4 linked regions of the Arabidopsis thaliana genome follow. The protein of the gene in region 1 interacts with the protein of each later gene in a pairwise test. Each region holds a gene or a part of one and is shown in the gene's direction. Other genes may lie near its edges. The genes, in order: HAB2, RCAR1, PYL10 and PYL6.

Region 1 (5,594 bases):
TCTTCTTGGTTGTCATGTGGTGCTTCTGTGTTTTCTCCTGCCCCAAATCCTGTTTCAAGAGTTTTCATTAGATTGATGGATTGATAACAATGATGATGATGATGATGATGCCATTACGTACTCAGTTTGGTTTGAACATGGAGAAGGATACAGTTTGGAGAATCGATGATGATATTCTCAACAGCCCATTTCAAAGCGTGTTGGCTGTTCTTATCTTTATCAATGGCTATGGCGGTAACTGCTTTGCTGTCTTTTCCTTTGAGTCTTCTTGCAGCCATTGTTTCTCAGCCCTCGAGATGATTGCTGGAAACTTTTGCTTCTGGAGAAACTAGAAAGACATTGTGGTACGGTCTTTCAATTACCCTCAGAAGGAGGAAATAAGGAGACCGAATGATAATGAAAATGATAACAAGGAATTAAGAAGAGAAGAGGAGAGGAGAGCTGTTTTGTTTGTTGAGAAAATTTAAACTTATAATGGTTTTGGCACTTTGCTAAAATTAGAAGGTTTTTCTTTTCTCCAACAATCTAAACAGTCATAACGAACAGAGAGGCAGACAAAAAGAGGATTTTTTTAATTTTAGTTGACGACTTATCTTTAAAGGATATTCCATATCATATCTTGTAGACAAAAAGAGGATTTTTTATTTTTAGATTTGTGTAATGGCATCTTATATTGATATATATGTAAACTAGATAAATTTGGAATTATAGGCAGTCTTGATCTTTTAGAAGAAAGAAGAAGACCATGAGGAAATCCAAAGGTTGAAATTAGTTTTATAATTGTTTCGACGAACGTGTTAAATATCTTGGGGTAACCTGTTTGGTTTTGAAAGGGCAAAAGGGTTTGAGTTTGAAGGACTTTGTCTTTTGTGTGTGATTCATGTCGCTGATGAGGAGGACCTTTGATATTTCAAAGAAACCATATGGAGTATATAATATATAGCTAATAATGATTTTCGTATAACAAACAGCCGTGTACAAGCGAGTGTGGAATTTAATAATAGTTGTGGACGCTACAATGGAAGTGGAATAGAGGATCATGGGCGAGTTCTTGCTACGTCCATTATCCTGAATGATGATGCGGTTCCCACAACACAAGTCCTTATTACTACAAGTCATCATGATAATGTAGCAAAGAGGAAGGAGGTGGAGTGTCTATGAGCTAGAGTGTATACCTCTTTGGGGCACTGTGTCAATCTGCGGTGAAATGGAGGATGCTGTTAGAGCTTTATCTCATTTTTCAAACTACCTATCAGAATGCTTATGTGTGATCATGAAGGGATAATAAGTCCAACGCTCACATGTCTCACTAGTCACTTCTTCGGAATTTATGATGGCCACAGAAGAAGCAGACCTGTTTCTGGTTCTGTTTCTTCTGATGATAGGATGGTTCTTCAGGCTGTTTCCCCTGAGACCGTCGGATCAACTGCTGTTGTTGCTTTGGTTTGCTCATCACATATCATAGTTTCCAACTGTGGTGGTTCAAGAGTGGTTTTACTCCGCGGCAAAGAATCCATGCCTTTATCAGTTGATCAGAAAGTATAAAAGCTGAGACAGAGCTAATGAAGTTTCTTACCTTAATGTAAACAAGTGGACGCTAGAGCCCATATAAGTGACGCTGACTGGGCCTTAATGTAGGCCCATTTCAAACTTTGGTCTCCGAGAAAAGTCTTTCGTTGTCTATTTTTTAACCACGTTATGATAACACTACATGTGTCATGAGATGCATGAACATATGTCATGAACATACTTTCAATCTTGGATCAAAAAACTAAATTAGAAGAATAAACAGAAGACTTGACCTTTAAGAGGGAAGGACACGCGTCATCTATGTTGCCATTATTGAATAGATTAATAAATTAGTTTTATAATTGATTGGAGCAACGTGTTAATAATGAAGGTCGTTGTCACATAAAGAAACTTGGGATTCCGTGGAGTGCTTATAATTTTTCTAATTTTATTTTTTGGGTAAAAACCTCATTAGATCCAGGAGAACCCATGTTTCGTTTCGTTTTGGAAAGATAAGAGAGATAAAGGTTTCGACTTTTTTAGGTTTTTCTGTGTGTTTTGTGATTCATTTCGCTGATTGATATCAATTCTCTCTGTTTGTTGTCCCTTCTCTTCAATTTCACCTGACTTTTGTTTTTGTTTTGGATAAAGTTTTCACCTTTGTGTCTTCTCTCTGCTCTCTTGTGTGATCTATCTGAAAAAGGCTGATTTTTTTTTTGTGGGTTTCTAAATTAGGGTTTGTGTGAGTTTATTGTCTTTCTGATTCGATGAAGATCAAGAGTTATAGAGGATCGTTAGAGTGATCAAAATCCCACGAATTCACAAAGGATCCGTCTTCATAGATCCGTCAGATCTGTTCAGCGGAGGTACATACTTCTTCGTCATTCACTGCTTTCTGGATTAGTTGGTGAGAATAAACGGCTGGTGGGTCTCGGTGGGAAGCTGAATTGGATGTAGAGTTCATCAGACTATAGCTTAGAGAAGAAAATGAAGTTTTTTGAATCGTTTTGCTCCAGTTGAGGTTTGGAAGCTGCATACCAGCTCATGGAAGAGATTTCACCTGCAGTTGCACTTACTTTGGGTTTAGCTAATACGATGTGTGACTCTGGAATCTCATCTACTTTCGATATCTCCGAGCTGGAGAATGTTACTGATGCAGCTGACATGTTGTGTAATCAGAAAAGACAAAGATATAGTAATGGAGTGGTGGATTGTATTATGGGAAGTGTTTCAGAAGAGAAGACTTTATCTGAAGTGAGAAGTTTGTCTTCTGATTTTAGTGTAACTGTCCAGGAATCAGAAGAAGATGAGCCATTAGTATCTGATGCGACTATTATTAGCGAAGGTTTAATAGTTGTGGACGCTAGGTCTGAGATAAGTTTGCCAGATACAGTTGAAACTGATAACGGGCGAGTTCTTGCTACGGCCATTATCCTAAACGAGACAACCATAGAACAGGTTCCCACTGCAGAAGTCCTTATTGCGAGTCTGAATCACGATGTGAATATGGAGGTGGCAACTTCTGAGGTAGTCATTAGGTTACCTGAAGAAAATCCTAATGTAGCAAGAGGAAGCAGGAGTGTTTATGAACTAGAGTGTATACCTCTTTGGGGCACGATTTCAATTTGCGGTGGAAGATCTGAAATGGAGGATGCTGTTAGAGCTTTACCTCATTTTCTCAAAATACCCATCAAAATGCTTATGGGGGATCATGAAGGGATGAGTCCAAGTCTCCCATATCTCACTAGTCACTTCTTTGGTGTATATGATGGCCACGGAGGCGCTCAGGTATGCTGTAGTTCGTAAATCCTTATACTGATTTTAGCAGTAGAAAGTTAATTCAACTATGAACCCGGAAGATACATGAGTTTATGTTTTGTTGACGTAGGTTGTATGTATATATGATAAAGGGTTTGCTGGAAACGGGATTCTTTGCAGGTTGTTATGTAATATATGACGGCTTTGGTGGAAATCGGATTCTTGCAGGTTGCTGACTATTGCCATGATAGAATCCACTCTGCTTTGGCTGAAGAAATCGAACGGATTAAAGAGGAATTGTGTAGGAGGAACACTGGCGAGGGTAGGCAGGTCCAGTGGGAGAAAGTCTTTGTAGATTGTTACCTAAAAGTCGATGATGAGGTTAAAGGGAAAATCAACAGACCTGTTGTTGGTTCTTCTGATAGGATGGTTCTTGAAGCTGTTTCCCCTGAAACCGTTGGATCGACTGCTGTGGTTGCTTTGGTTTGTTCATCGCATATAATAGTCTCAAACTGTGGTGACTCAAGAGCAGTTTTACTCCGAGGCAAAGACTCCATGCCTTTATCAGTTGATCACAAAGTAAAAAATCTTCTCTTTCCCTCTAAAATAATTTAACACAATCTGAGAAAGTTTCTTATTTCTAATTCATGAAATTTCTTACCCTTTCTCTGCAGCCAGATAGAGAGGATGAGTATGCACGAATAGAGAAAGCTGGAGGAAAAGTTATACAATGGCAAGGCGCTCGTGTTTCTGGCGTTCTTGCCATGTCCAGGTCCATCGGTAGGTCAAACTTGCACTTATGTCTTCCATCTTGCCTAGTGACAGAAATATGAAGAGAGTTTTATAGGTCAAAATTATCGATAAATTAAACATTCAGTAACCTTATTTAGAGATGAGGATCATTACTACCTGTTACAGTCTCTGCAAAATCATGAGATCTCCTGAAAGTGGGTTTCAATCTGCATCGTTTTCAGGTGATCAATATCTGGAGCCATTTGTAATACCAGATCCCGAAGTGACGTTTATGCCACGAGCTAGAGAAGACGAGTGTCTAATATTGGCCAGTGATGGACTTTGGGACGTAATGAGTAACCAAGAAGCTTGCGATTTTGCGAGGAGGCGGATCTTGGCTTGGCACAAGAAGAATGGAGCATTGCCTTTAGCTGAGAGAGGTGTAGGAGAAGACCAAGCGTGTCAAGCTGCGGCTGAATATCTCTCCAAACTCGCTATTCAAATGGGAAGCAAAGACAATATCTCAATCATAGTGATCGACTTGAAAGCTCAAAGAAAGTTCAAGACCAGATCTTGAAACAGTGTATGCTCGAGCTCTTACACTATTATAATTTTATTATTTCTTATTTATTGAAAAAATTTCCACAAGTTTACATAAAAATAAGAAGTGAAATGTTGGGGGGAAGAAGAATTAAGACCTTGATGCATAGCTGAAGTCCATTCCTTTTTCTCATGGACTTGAATGTGTATGTTTGTTATGTATAAGAAGAATAGAGAAGAAATGTTTTTACTTTGGAGTCTTGTAGGTGGATATGTTGTTGTAATATTGGAGATGTGGCTTAAGGAATTGTAACTGAAATTTATGTCACATTCACCTTAATACTTTTCTGTAATCTATTATATATAAATACTTGTTGTGAAAGAGTTATTATTGTCTTTTCTATTGTTATTGTTATACAACAGGTAATATTGATTCCAAAGTGTTTAATGAGGGATGCTGTATCAAACATGAAAACTAAGTGAAGGGTTTGGAGAAGGATGGTTGTTTAAAGCTATTTCCCCTGCTTTTTTTACTAAGAGAGTAGAGTTTAACAATTAAAAGAAACCTAAATAAGAGATCATAATTGGTACGTTAAGGTTTCATAATTCATTAGAATTAACAAAAATAATGAGTTGGATAGTTGAAGAATCAACAGAAACCCAAGTGATGAATGGATCAAAGAGAGTCACATAAAGGAGATCATAACTGATGTTTTAGTGTGGTGTATTGTCTCAAACAATGTGCTGAGCCAAAGAAAGGATCTTGAGCTGTTTCCTGAGGCGCATCTCGTGCGGGACAGGACCAAACACTCGGGTACCAGTCGGTTGGTTGTACTCCATTTTCCTCTTGGAACCATGTGAATTATTCTGCCCTTTCTTTTCCTTAATGCCAACAACTACAATGGCATTGTCATCAAACTTGACTTGGCTTCCATCAGCACGTCCTTTAGGCATCGCAGCACGCACAACCACACCGTACACGACCATCCCTTTCTTCACTTTACCTTTTGGGATAGCGTCTTTCTTTACTTTTTTTTGAACAATTGGGTTAGCTT
Region 2 (3,676 bases), 5.9 Mb from region 1:
TCATCTAAATTTGAAGCTTTTTCCTTTTGTTAAATTTGTTGAAACAGTCAAAGTTAGATTAAACCAGGACAAATGAATGAAACGATAAATTCATAACTTTTTACTGCCAGCATTATCAGAAGAATGTCGTTAATGTTGTCTTTTTTTCTTTCACTTCCGTCTGTTTTTTTTGTGGTATTGGTTAATTCGAAAAGATTCGGAACCTATTGGCCGGCAAAAAAGTTATCCAAATGAACAAAAAGAAGAATTACACGTGTCAAGTTCACGAGAAACGACATAATACGTGAACATGAAAATGACAGACAATAAACCAATGAAAATATGACACGTATATTGGTTTCCTATTATTTAACCGTATTTAGCTCATTGTCGCTGTCACTAAAAAGGCTCCTTGTTTTTATCTTGAAGCAGTTAATAATTTACGCCAAAGTCGTCTTTTGCGTTTAAGTTCGCATGCCTAGCTAGTGCCAAAGGTGATCCTATCCGATAAGCTTTGTTTTGGGTAAATTTTTATCTGATAAGGTTACTGTAATTATCGTCAATTACCGCTCTTTTAAGTACTATATTATCACTTAACATTTTTTAAAAAATATGATTGCAGAAAATGTTATATATAAACTAAATCCCTATTTTATCATAACGTCAATTTCAGACAATTAATGAGATATGTAAGCATAAACCATATTCATATTGAACAAGAAAACCTCCGGTTACAATTATATGTGTTGTTTAAAATGGTTACAAAATCGGAAGATTGTTCGTTATGAAAACCTTAAACCATAATTAATACATATGTTAGAAGATAATTAGATAAGTAATCATTTAACTAGATTTATCTAAAAAGTGATTATGTTGTTTTTGTTTGAGAAAACCAAGTAAAGGTGAGTCTTTTCTCCTTTGGGAAAAACAAAAGTAGAATTCAAAAAAGAAAGAAATAGAATTCACTAATTATATAGTAATCCATTAATATTACTGGTTAGAAAGCGTAATTAGCGGCGGTGGTTATCAAAAGTGACTTCCACCATATGTTTCGAAAGCTTGAGTTTCACGAAGAAGATGGAGGAGGGGCAACTTTAGACTAGTGGAGATGAATCGAATGATGATTTATTGTAGATTCTTTGTGGTATCTCATCTTTCCTTCGTATGAGGTGTGATTCACAACAAATACAATTTAACAAAAACTAGTTTGTCTACATTCGGTATGATATAATTAAGGACTTTGTCTCAAACAGATTAAAGTTCTTGTTTCATGATTTTAGATTGTGGATGCCTTGTACCAATCTTCTTGTAGAAATGCCTTCTCCTCCTAGAAGAGAAATTACACCTTACGTGTCGTACATGACTACATGGAACAGTCACTTTGCAGATAGGATATGGTGTTAGACATTTAGCTTGATACAATTAATTAATGTTTAACAACAAGGTTTAAAGGCAACGAGAGCTATATCTAATAAGATGTGGTCTAAGACATATGAGACCTGATACATGGAGAATCACTCATTTATAAATTTCTGGTATATTAACGACATTTTGTGTCTAAAAAATTAGCTATTATAATGAATATGGTCTAAAATTGAATTTAAATTAACAAAACTATCTATAAAGTTTGAAACGATCTTACCTAATCAAAACAAATAATTATCTAAGCAATCTGTTTTGTTTTGTTCGGATTATATAGGTCCCCAAAACGTCATACAATAAAACTTGCTTAAATATTTTGTTTTTTTGTTACATTAAAAAATTAGTATCTTGTTGTGTTTTTGTTTGGTTTGAAAAGCTGAAAATGTGTGAAGGAGAAGAAGGAAGCTATAAAAAAGAGTTTAGGTACAAAAGTAAAAAGTTATTATGTCGGTGGGTTCATTAAAAGAAACCAAAAAACATAAACAAGTAATTTTGTTTTGGCATAACGAAGCATCTTCTTCTTCTTCCTTGTATTTATTATCCATTTCCAGAGATTCTCCCTTGTGAGATAACAACGAAGAACGAAAGAGAGAGAGAGAGAGAGAGATATGATGGACGGCGTTGAAGGCGGCACGGCGATGTACGGTGGTCTCGAGACGGTGCAATACGTACGGACGCATCATCAACATCTGTGCAGAGAAAACCAGTGTACCTCTGCTCTTGTCAAACACATCAAAGCTCCTCTTCATCTCGTAAGCTTCTCCAATCTACCACTAATTTCACCCTTTTCGTACCATTTTCTCCATGATCCGTCAATTTTGATCCCAACCATCGATTTAGGGTTTTTTCCCCCAAATCTCTGTTTAACGATTGATTATAATTGATTTTTTTTAGGTTTGGTCACTTGTACGGAGATTTGATCAGCCGCAGAAATACAAACCGTTTGTGAGCAGATGTACAGTAATCGGTGATCCTGAAATCGGCAGTCTTAGAGAAGTCAATGTTAAATCTGGTCTTCCTGCAACAACATCTACTGAGAGATTAGAACTTCTTGATGATGAAGAACACATCCTCGGTATCAAAATCATCGGTGGTGATCACAGACTTAAGGTACAGCGAGAGAAATCAAATCTCATTGATGTTTGTTTATATGCAGATTCTCATTGATTGTTTGTTTGCAGAATTACTCGTCGATTTTGACGGTTCATCCGGAGATAATCGAGGGAAGAGCAGGAACGATGGTGATTGAATCGTTTGTAGTTGATGTTCCTCAAGGTAACACAAAGGATGAGACTTGCTACTTTGTTGAAGCACTTATCAGATGTAATCTCAAGTCACTAGCAGATGTTTCTGAAAGATTGGCTTCTCAGGACATTACTCAGTGAACTACATAATCAATGAACAAGGGCATTGAAGTGAAGTATCAATTCCAGTTTGTGATATAATCAATATTCTTCAGGATTTTTTTGGTTTGGCCTAGATATATATATAGATATCTATCCTCGGTAATGACCAGTCTAAAAAGATGTACATATTGTCCCAATGGTGAAGTTTTGATGTAAGATATCTCCTGGTGGTTTGTTATTTGTAGATATTTTTGTAAACAATGTAAATGTGAATGGTTTATGATGTATAATATATAGTTCACAAAAGATGTTTCTGTAGACTTCAGATTCCACTTCTCTATTGAACAGAACCTATGATTGGATGCTGAGAACTTGTAAAGAATCTGAGGCAGAAAGTTGAAAAACTGTGTCAATTTCATTAACTTGAAAAGATGAGCATAAATTGGGAGAGAGAGAGAGAGACAAAGATTTTGAATTGAGGTTTAACGGTAAAACACACAAAACCTATTCCCCTCTGTTTCCAATTTTCATCTAAACAAACAGGTACATATTTGAATGTAATATTGTATACAGACCAGGGGTAAAACAGGAACTAAAGAAGGCTAACAATCGAGTCGAACCCTCTATGTGAAGCCACAGGTTTAGTGCAAATTGTAATAAGTTGTTCAGAGAGACTCTTGACTGAAACAAATTGTGAAGCAGATTCGATTTTAAAATCAAAATTTGAGTGTCGAGCGGGAAAGTAAAAGTTCCGCTCCAATCTTCTAATCTTTTCGTATCTAGCGGGAAATTTCTCAGCAGGTGACTTTCATAATCGCAGTTTTCGTCGATTCTCTTTTCCGATTTTACGATTCCTCTCTCTCTCTCATGGTGCGATTTCTCCAGCAGTAAAAATCAATGGCGAGAACCAAGCATCGCGTTACCAGGTC
Region 3 (3,193 bases), on another chromosome or scaffold:
TTCACCACTTGCAGGCAAGAATTCTCTGATGTTTGAACGAGATTGGAATGTTCAGGTTTTATTTTTTGATATTATCGGCTGTAACATGTGTATGTTTAATGTAACAGAGGACAGAAATGGATCGGGTCTGCTTTGGGCGATCTGGAATTCATGGATGGGGTCTTTTTGCAAGAAGAAATATCCAAGAAGGAGAAATGGTATGTCAGCAGACCCATTTGTGATATTGTGTTTGGTCTATTTGGGATGAGGGGAGTGTTTATTGTCGAGAGGTGCTATTGTATTTCAGGTTCTTGAATACAGAGGGGAACAGGTGAGAGGTAGCATTGCAGACTTGAGAGAAGCACGTTATCGCAGAGTAGGAAAGGATTGCTATGTGAGTTGAAAAAGTTTCCATTTTATCTTCACAAATTGTCTCTTCTCTCTCTATCTCTCTTAACCAAAAGAAGGATTTATGTTGCAGCTTTTCAAGATCAGTGAAGAAGTAGTGGTTGATGCTACAGATAAAGGGAATATAGCTCGGCTCATCAATCATTCGGTAAGCTGCTTGGCATGGACTTTTTACGTACAAGAAATTTGACAGACTGTTAAAGCCTAAATCAAAATACGTGGTGTGTAGTGTACACCAAACTGCTATGCGAGGATTATGAGTGTAGGAGATGAGGAAAGCAGGATTGTCCTGATAGCCAAGGCCAATGTAGCTGTGGGAGAGGAGTTAACGTACACAACGCATTTCTATATATACCATTCTTCAATCTAAAGCTGATTGATTGTCATAGTTTAAGAAATGTTGTGTGGTGTTTTGGCAGGTATGATTACTTATTTGATCCAGACGAGGCAGAGGAACTCAAGGTGCCATGCTTATGTAAAGCCCCTAACTGCAGGAAATTCATGAATTAGAATAGAAAGGTATAGATCCTCTAAGTTTACTTCACAGGCTACAACACCAAGAAGAAAAGGCCAAAGCAAGATTGTCTCTTTTTGCTCCAAAAACAATAGATTTATAGGTAGAGAGAAAAGCTAAGTGATCCAAGTCTGATCTCTTCTGCCTCTCTGTATAGACAAACTCGTTTGTGTCACCATTATCCTCAAAAGAATTCAATTTCATTCATTTTGTTCATTTCAACGAGACTTGAGCAGAAAACTTGGGATAATTCCAACTGTTGTGACCGTTTTACCCTATAACCATCGGTTTACTACGGTTATACCGCGAAGGTGATGAGTCAATTCAATTGGGAATTGATTTTCCTTTCGCGCCGGTTTATGAATCGTGCTTTCGTCAAGTGCCATGTCAGACGAATTGTAGTTTGCTGCTGATAAAAGATCTCGTAATGGTTTTCTTAAAACACTTTTAAGCGTTTTTGACGGCCCAATTGATGCGAATATGGATTGACTCTTATCTATACTTCAGATATGTTCAAAGCCACACAAGGTAAATTGCATAACGGATAACAATTCCCATAAGAAAAAATGTTTCGGTGTCAAACTGTATATGAGCAATTCTGAAACATTCTAAAGATTTTGTGGTTATGTGTTAAACTTAAAGCATTTGATAGAGAGATATTTTTCAAAGAAATAGGAAAAAATAATGTTACAATCCTCCACATTAATGTTTACAATCCGTCCATCTGTACTTGACATGTCGGATCATAATCCAAGATAATGGGAATACAGATATAAGTTAAAAATGAATTCACTCATAGAAACTTGGAAGGCTATATTCGTCAATATAAAAGAGCATCCTTTAAATAGCTGCACACTGGTACAGTGGTTCTACTATTGAGTGAAAAAAAAAAAAAACTAAAGGCACGAATAATTTTTGTCTAATCAAAATTATTTAAATTGCTGCTATTTAAGATAACGATGAACGGTGACGAAACAAAGAAGGTGGAGAGCGAGTACATCAAGAAACACCATAGACACGAGCTTGTAGAGTCTCAATGTAGCTCTACGCTCGTTAAGCACATCAAAGCTCCTCTGCATCTCGTAAGCTTTGCTTTGCTCTGTTTTTCAAGTGTTAAAGATAACGATTTTTGAGATGTTAAATGATTTGTTTTGTTTGGAAAAGGTGTGGTCAATTGTGAGGAGATTCGATGAACCACAAAAATACAAACCATTTATCAGTAGGTGTGTGGTACAAGGTAAGAAGCTGGAGGTTGGTAGCGTAAGAGAAGTGGATTTGAAATCTGGATTACCAGCTACTAAAAGCACTGAGGTATTAGAGATTCTTGACGACAATGAGCATATTCTCGGCATCAGAATAGTTGGTGGTGATCATAGACTCAAGGTAAATTGAAATTTCCTTAAATGTACCATTCATTCCGACAAGATTATTGTTTTTTTTAGAGCTTAATTTGTTATTTGTCCAATCAGAATTATTCTTCAACCATTTCGTTACATTCGGAGACGATAGACGGAAAAACAGGGACATTGGCTATAGAATCGTTCGTGGTGGATGTGCCGGAAGGTAACACAAAGGAGGAGACATGCTTCTTCGTGGAGGCTTTGATTCAATGCAATCTCAATTCTTTAGCAGATGTTACCGAGCGTCTACAAGCAGAATCTATGGAGAAGAAGATATGAGATGTGACTTGAGAATCTTTTCATTCGGAAAAGAAGGAAAAAGACCAAAGAAGAGAAATAACTCTTCCCTTTTATAGCAATGTCTATGTTTTTTCTTCTTCTATTTCCATTTTCTGAATGTTTGTATATTATTGGAAGTTTGTAACGAAATGATTTCGAATAGCTGTCAAACGAGAAATATAAATTCAAATTTGTAAGTGTTTATATGAAATGCTTTTTTATTTTTAACATTTCCACATGAAAATATAAATAACATATCATGACACATGCAAAATCATATTTATGAAAGTTTTTTCAACTCTCTCCATTTTTTCGACATATCAGCATTAGATAGAGTGACACTTATCACATCAACATATGAATTACATTTCTTATTTAATTTAATGTATTTAAGAATTTATAATCATGCATTAATTCTTTCTAAATTTTTTGACATGTTTGAACTTATTAATTAAATAATTTCAATTTAATTAGGTACAAAGTATATCAAACTCACATAAATAACTTATTTAAATTAAATTATATAAATCGTATAAACTTATGTATAAACATAAAATTAATAGAATTTTAATGAACTTTTAGATTTGATTAAAGTATAAAAATTAAATAATAT
Region 4 (4,015 bases), on another chromosome or scaffold:
TTATTTAAAAGGCTTTAACTATTCCATTCTGGTCTCCAAAATCGTTTTTCTTGCTCGAATCTTGAAGATCTTCTAAGCCTTTAGAAAAATGAAGAAATCAAGTTGGCAAACTGTTAATTAATTAAATCCAATGAATTGGTGGGTATTGCACCTCCACAAGTTCCCTTTGACAATGTGTCCTCTTCTCCGCAAGAATGAGATGCAACTATTTTGGACAATTTCTCCTTTTAATTACTTTTTGATCGATAATCTTCTCTTAATATCACGTTGTAATCTGATTCATTCAAATATCTATCGAAATTTAAGCTTATCTTTGATTTTTTCGATACTTATTTTTGAAATTTTAAGTGCATTTTGTTTATAATCATAGTTGGGGATTTAATAATTTTAGGTGGAATAATATTTTATGCATATTGGAGATTTATTTCTCGAGAAATATTCACAAACAAACAAACAACCGGCTTTTGCACAAAAATAATAATGACATGGAGTCGAGTTGTTTATACTAATGTTTGTCACTATCTCACCATTGGAATTTAAATCTTGGATATATAATACATGTTTTGACAAAAAAAAAAGTTGGCACAAATTATGTTGTTGTAACAAAATACGTCTGATGCATTGATTTGAGATTGACTCTTTGAACCCAAAAATGTATCACCGTAATATTAATACATTTTCCACATCAACTTGTAATCTATTTGTGTTCAGTAATATATTGGTGAGTGATTATGTCACCTAACCCGAAAGCTTATAAGATGAGCAATCTTTATATCGAGGATGGTGCAAAAAATAGCAAATTGTAACTTTTTGTCCTTCTTATTCTATAAAATGTCAGATATAATTAGTACTGCAAATTGCTCGCTTATTCGTATTAATCTTAACAACTAGGGCTACTTGGGAATATGTATAGTTGTTGGAAAAACTAATGCATTAGATAACCCTTTATTATTTTTCCCAATTGTGTTTTGTTATTATGCCCACCACTCAAATCCAAGAGTCCAATATATTCATATGATTTGAATATACGTTTGTGGAAGAAAACACACCCAAGAAATATTGTCCAATTCGTAAATTTCCCTGACTTTACGTTGGTTACTTTTAGCAAACTGCTTAGTTTGATTTTCTTCTAATTCGTCTTATTAATATTCTGTTCTTTTCTTTGTTGAAAAGGAATTTGATTAATACTTTTTTTAGTATCGTCGAAAGGCTCAAGTTGATTACAAGATGAGGAAAGATTATTATGATGGACCCATGACATGATATCTTCACCAACTTGGAACATTGAAAGTCCTATGGAGTTATTTTTGAAATTTTTACCTTAGTCAGAAGGTTCCAACAAAATTAAAAATCCACCAAAAACGCATCCAAGAATAGTACCAACTGAAAATAGATCGGCAATCACAAAGACAAAGGTCGGTCCTCCCAACCAATTTGTTTCAAGAATTTTTTCAAACCTATGCATAAATTAAGTATAGCTCTTAACCAATATATATAGCTTAACCAACTCGACACATAGTGATCATGTTCTTATAATCTTTAATAACGTTTTAGAGTTAGCTATATATATAGCCTCGAGACAGTAGAAGATTGAAATATCTATGCAAAACCTCAAAGATAATGTTCAATGTTTTTATATTCTGAATATTGATATAATCGGTGAGATAGAGATGAGTTCAGAATTTTTTTCTCGGTATCTTAAATGATATTGATTTCATTTTCTCAACTTTCATTCAAGAGTGTTTTTGGTTAAAACATAAAAACGTCCATTCTAATTATAGTAATGCTTGTGTGGTTACGACAACATGCTCATTCATTGTAATAAACTGGTGAAATATATAGCACCATTGACAAATAGACAGCCTCAGTAACAAAGCAAGGAAAAACAAAATTAAAATTTAATAACCGGTTATATTAAATATCGAGAACCAGTCCGTAGAATTTCATGGGAAACCGGGCCGGTCCTTGATATAAAGAAAGAGAGAGACGTTTCTTAACTGAAGCAGTACACAAACTCCAAACAAATCCCAAGTGGACAACCGAAGAACCCACACAAACTAACTCTCTTTCCTAATCCACATACTTGCATTTTTATATATAAACACTCTGTCCTTATATAGTTCTGTATATTACATGTAAATATCTCTCATTAATACAACCTCACGAAGAAAACCATTTGTTTTCTTAGAGAGAGCCAAGAATATTAAAAGAGATATAGAGAAAAGATTTGCTTTAATAATGCCAACGTCGATACAGTTTCAGAGATCCTCCACCGCCGCAGAAGCAGCCAACGCCACCGTAAGAAACTATCCCCACCACCATCAGAAACAGGTTCAAAAAGTGAGCCTCACGCGCGGGATGGCTGATGTGCCGGAGCACGTGGAGCTTTCCCACACGCACGTGGTTGGTCCTTCTCAGTGCTTCTCCGTCGTGGTACAAGACGTGGAGGCTCCGGTTTCCACAGTCTGGTCGATCCTAAGCCGCTTCGAACACCCTCAAGCGTACAAACACTTCGTGAAAAGCTGCCACGTGGTTATCGGAGACGGTCGAGAGGTTGGGTCGGTGAGAGAGGTCAGAGTCGTCTCTGGTCTCCCCGCGGCGTTTAGCTTAGAGCGGCTTGAGATCATGGACGATGATCGCCACGTCATCAGTTTCAGCGTCGTTGGTGGGGACCACAGACTCATGAACTACAAGTCGGTGACGACGGTGCATGAGTCGGAGGAGGACTCCGACGGCAAGAAGAGGACACGTGTCGTTGAGTCATACGTCGTTGACGTACCGGCGGGTAACGATAAGGAAGAGACTTGTAGCTTTGCTGATACTATAGTACGGTGCAACTTGCAATCGCTGGCTAAACTCGCCGAGAACACTTCTAAATTCTCGTAATTACATTTTTTCAATCTTTTTATTTTTATTTTATTTTCTATATTTCTCTCTTTCAAAATTTATCTTTTATTTTTGGGATTCTCGAGGTGGTTTTGGATTTTAAGATTTAAGTATTTAACTATCGTCGGGGATTTTTCGAAACTAAAACAAAAAACAAGAATTATATCAAACAAGATGGTTTTGGTTTTTCGAAGTTAGGGTTTTTAGGGTCTGTTAAATGTATGTCTCAACGATACTTTGGTTTTACCCTTAAAACCATTTCTTCTTGTACAGCTCTCGTAGCTTTATTATATAAACATTGATTGTTTAGTTATTTTCATAATCTTCTTCTTGCGCCGTATTTTACATATTTATTATTTGTCTTTTAATTTAGTTAATCATGAAACAATATAGACTATATAGTGATTCAGCTATAATGCATGGGGTATATTGTTACGATATTTCCGATATTATTATGTCTAATTTCATTAATTTTGATAACCTACATAATAATGTATTACACAAACAATTTGATTAATATAATCATTGGCATATCTACTATATATGAAGAGATCTGAACAATTGTGGGCAATCAGAAAACCCATACATGTGCTGATTGAGATGATTCGTTTTCCTTTATGTTAAGAGAAGAACAAAGTAAAACTATACATCATTTGAATTTTATTGAAATGTATAAACAGTAGAATACTACTTGGTGTTTTAAATGAATTTGCTCACCAGCTATATAATCAAAGCGTTCAATCCTAAAAGCAAAGATGGAATAATATCAATTAGTGATAATTAAACTTGAACCAAGGCGTAATGCATGTATTGAGTTATGTGATATAATCTTAAGAATTTTCTTTATGGCATATATAATGCTAGGCCAAAATAAATGGTGTCAGGTAATACAGCATTATATCTTTAATTCCCTAATTTGGAAACGTAAAATTTTCAAATTATTTGTCATTTCATCAACAAACTTTACATAAATACGTAAATGTTTTGTTTTTACTCACCAAAAAAATAAATCAAAATTATTTACATACCAAAATGATAAAATTTCTTAGTTCCTTTTATAGTTTTGGGATGCGTGAACCGTTTCAATAATTCAAATGTCAAAATTATTACTTTTTCGGATTTCCTTGTC

Evidence for each region.
Region 2: the proteins of HAB2 (region 1) and RCAR1 interact in binary tests that used the Arabidopsis thaliana proteins (3 or more experiments, as listed by UniProt).
Region 3: the proteins of HAB2 (region 1) and PYL10 interact in binary tests that used the Arabidopsis thaliana proteins (3 or more experiments, as listed by UniProt).
Region 4: the proteins of HAB2 (region 1) and PYL6 interact in binary tests that used the Arabidopsis thaliana proteins (3 or more experiments, as listed by UniProt).

The regions. Positions count from the first base shown.
Region 1 is NC_003070.9:6,032,364-6,037,957, forward strand, and holds HAB2 (homology to ABI2), read left to right. Parts: upstream 1-1,906; 5' UTR 1,907-2,553; coding exon 2,554-3,297; intron 3,298-3,495; coding exon 3,496-3,846; intron 3,847-3,941; coding exon 3,942-4,047; intron 4,048-4,241; coding exon 4,242-4,576; 3' UTR 4,577-5,035; downstream 5,036-5,594. Other genes in the region: AT1G17540 (kinase with adenine nucleotide alpha hydrolases-like domain-containing protein), read right to left, coding at 1-49, 122-278; AT1G17545 (Protein phosphatase 2C family protein), read left to right, coding at 746-761, 944-1,146, 1,225-1,545; HLL (Ribosomal protein L14p/L23e family protein), read right to left, coding at 5,272-5,594. UniProt on the Arabidopsis thaliana protein: Key component and repressor of the abscisic acid (ABA) signaling pathway that regulates numerous ABA responses, such as stomatal closure, seed germination and inhibition of vegetative growth.
Region 2 is NC_003070.9:140,129-143,804, forward strand, and holds RCAR1 (regulatory component of ABA receptor 1), read left to right. Parts: upstream 1-1,741; 5' UTR 1,742-2,009; coding exon 2,010-2,153; intron 2,154-2,295; coding exon 2,296-2,511; intron 2,512-2,582; coding exon 2,583-2,786; 3' UTR 2,787-3,133; downstream 3,134-3,676. Other genes in the region: HTR12 (Histone superfamily protein), read left to right, coding at 3,645-3,676. UniProt on the Arabidopsis thaliana protein: Receptor for abscisic acid (ABA) required for ABA-mediated responses such as stomatal closure and germination inhibition.
Region 3 is NC_003075.7:13,899,360-13,902,552, forward strand, and holds PYL10 (PYR1-like 10), read left to right. Parts: upstream 1-1,782; 5' UTR 1,783-1,860; coding exon 1,861-1,983; intron 1,984-2,065; coding exon 2,066-2,284; intron 2,285-2,370; coding exon 2,371-2,580; 3' UTR 2,581-2,641; downstream 2,642-3,193. Other genes in the region: SDG16 (SET domain protein 16), read left to right, coding at 1-14, 108-197, 287-373, 461-535, 617-717, 807-897. UniProt on the Arabidopsis thaliana protein: Receptor for abscisic acid (ABA) required for ABA-mediated responses such as stomatal closure and germination inhibition.
Region 4 is NC_003071.7:16,844,048-16,848,062, reverse strand, and holds PYL6 (PYR1-like 6), read left to right. Parts: upstream 1-1,868; 5' UTR 1,869-2,238; coding exon 2,239-2,886; 3' UTR 2,887-3,475; downstream 3,476-4,015. UniProt on the Arabidopsis thaliana protein: Receptor for abscisic acid (ABA) required for ABA-mediated responses such as stomatal closure and germination inhibition.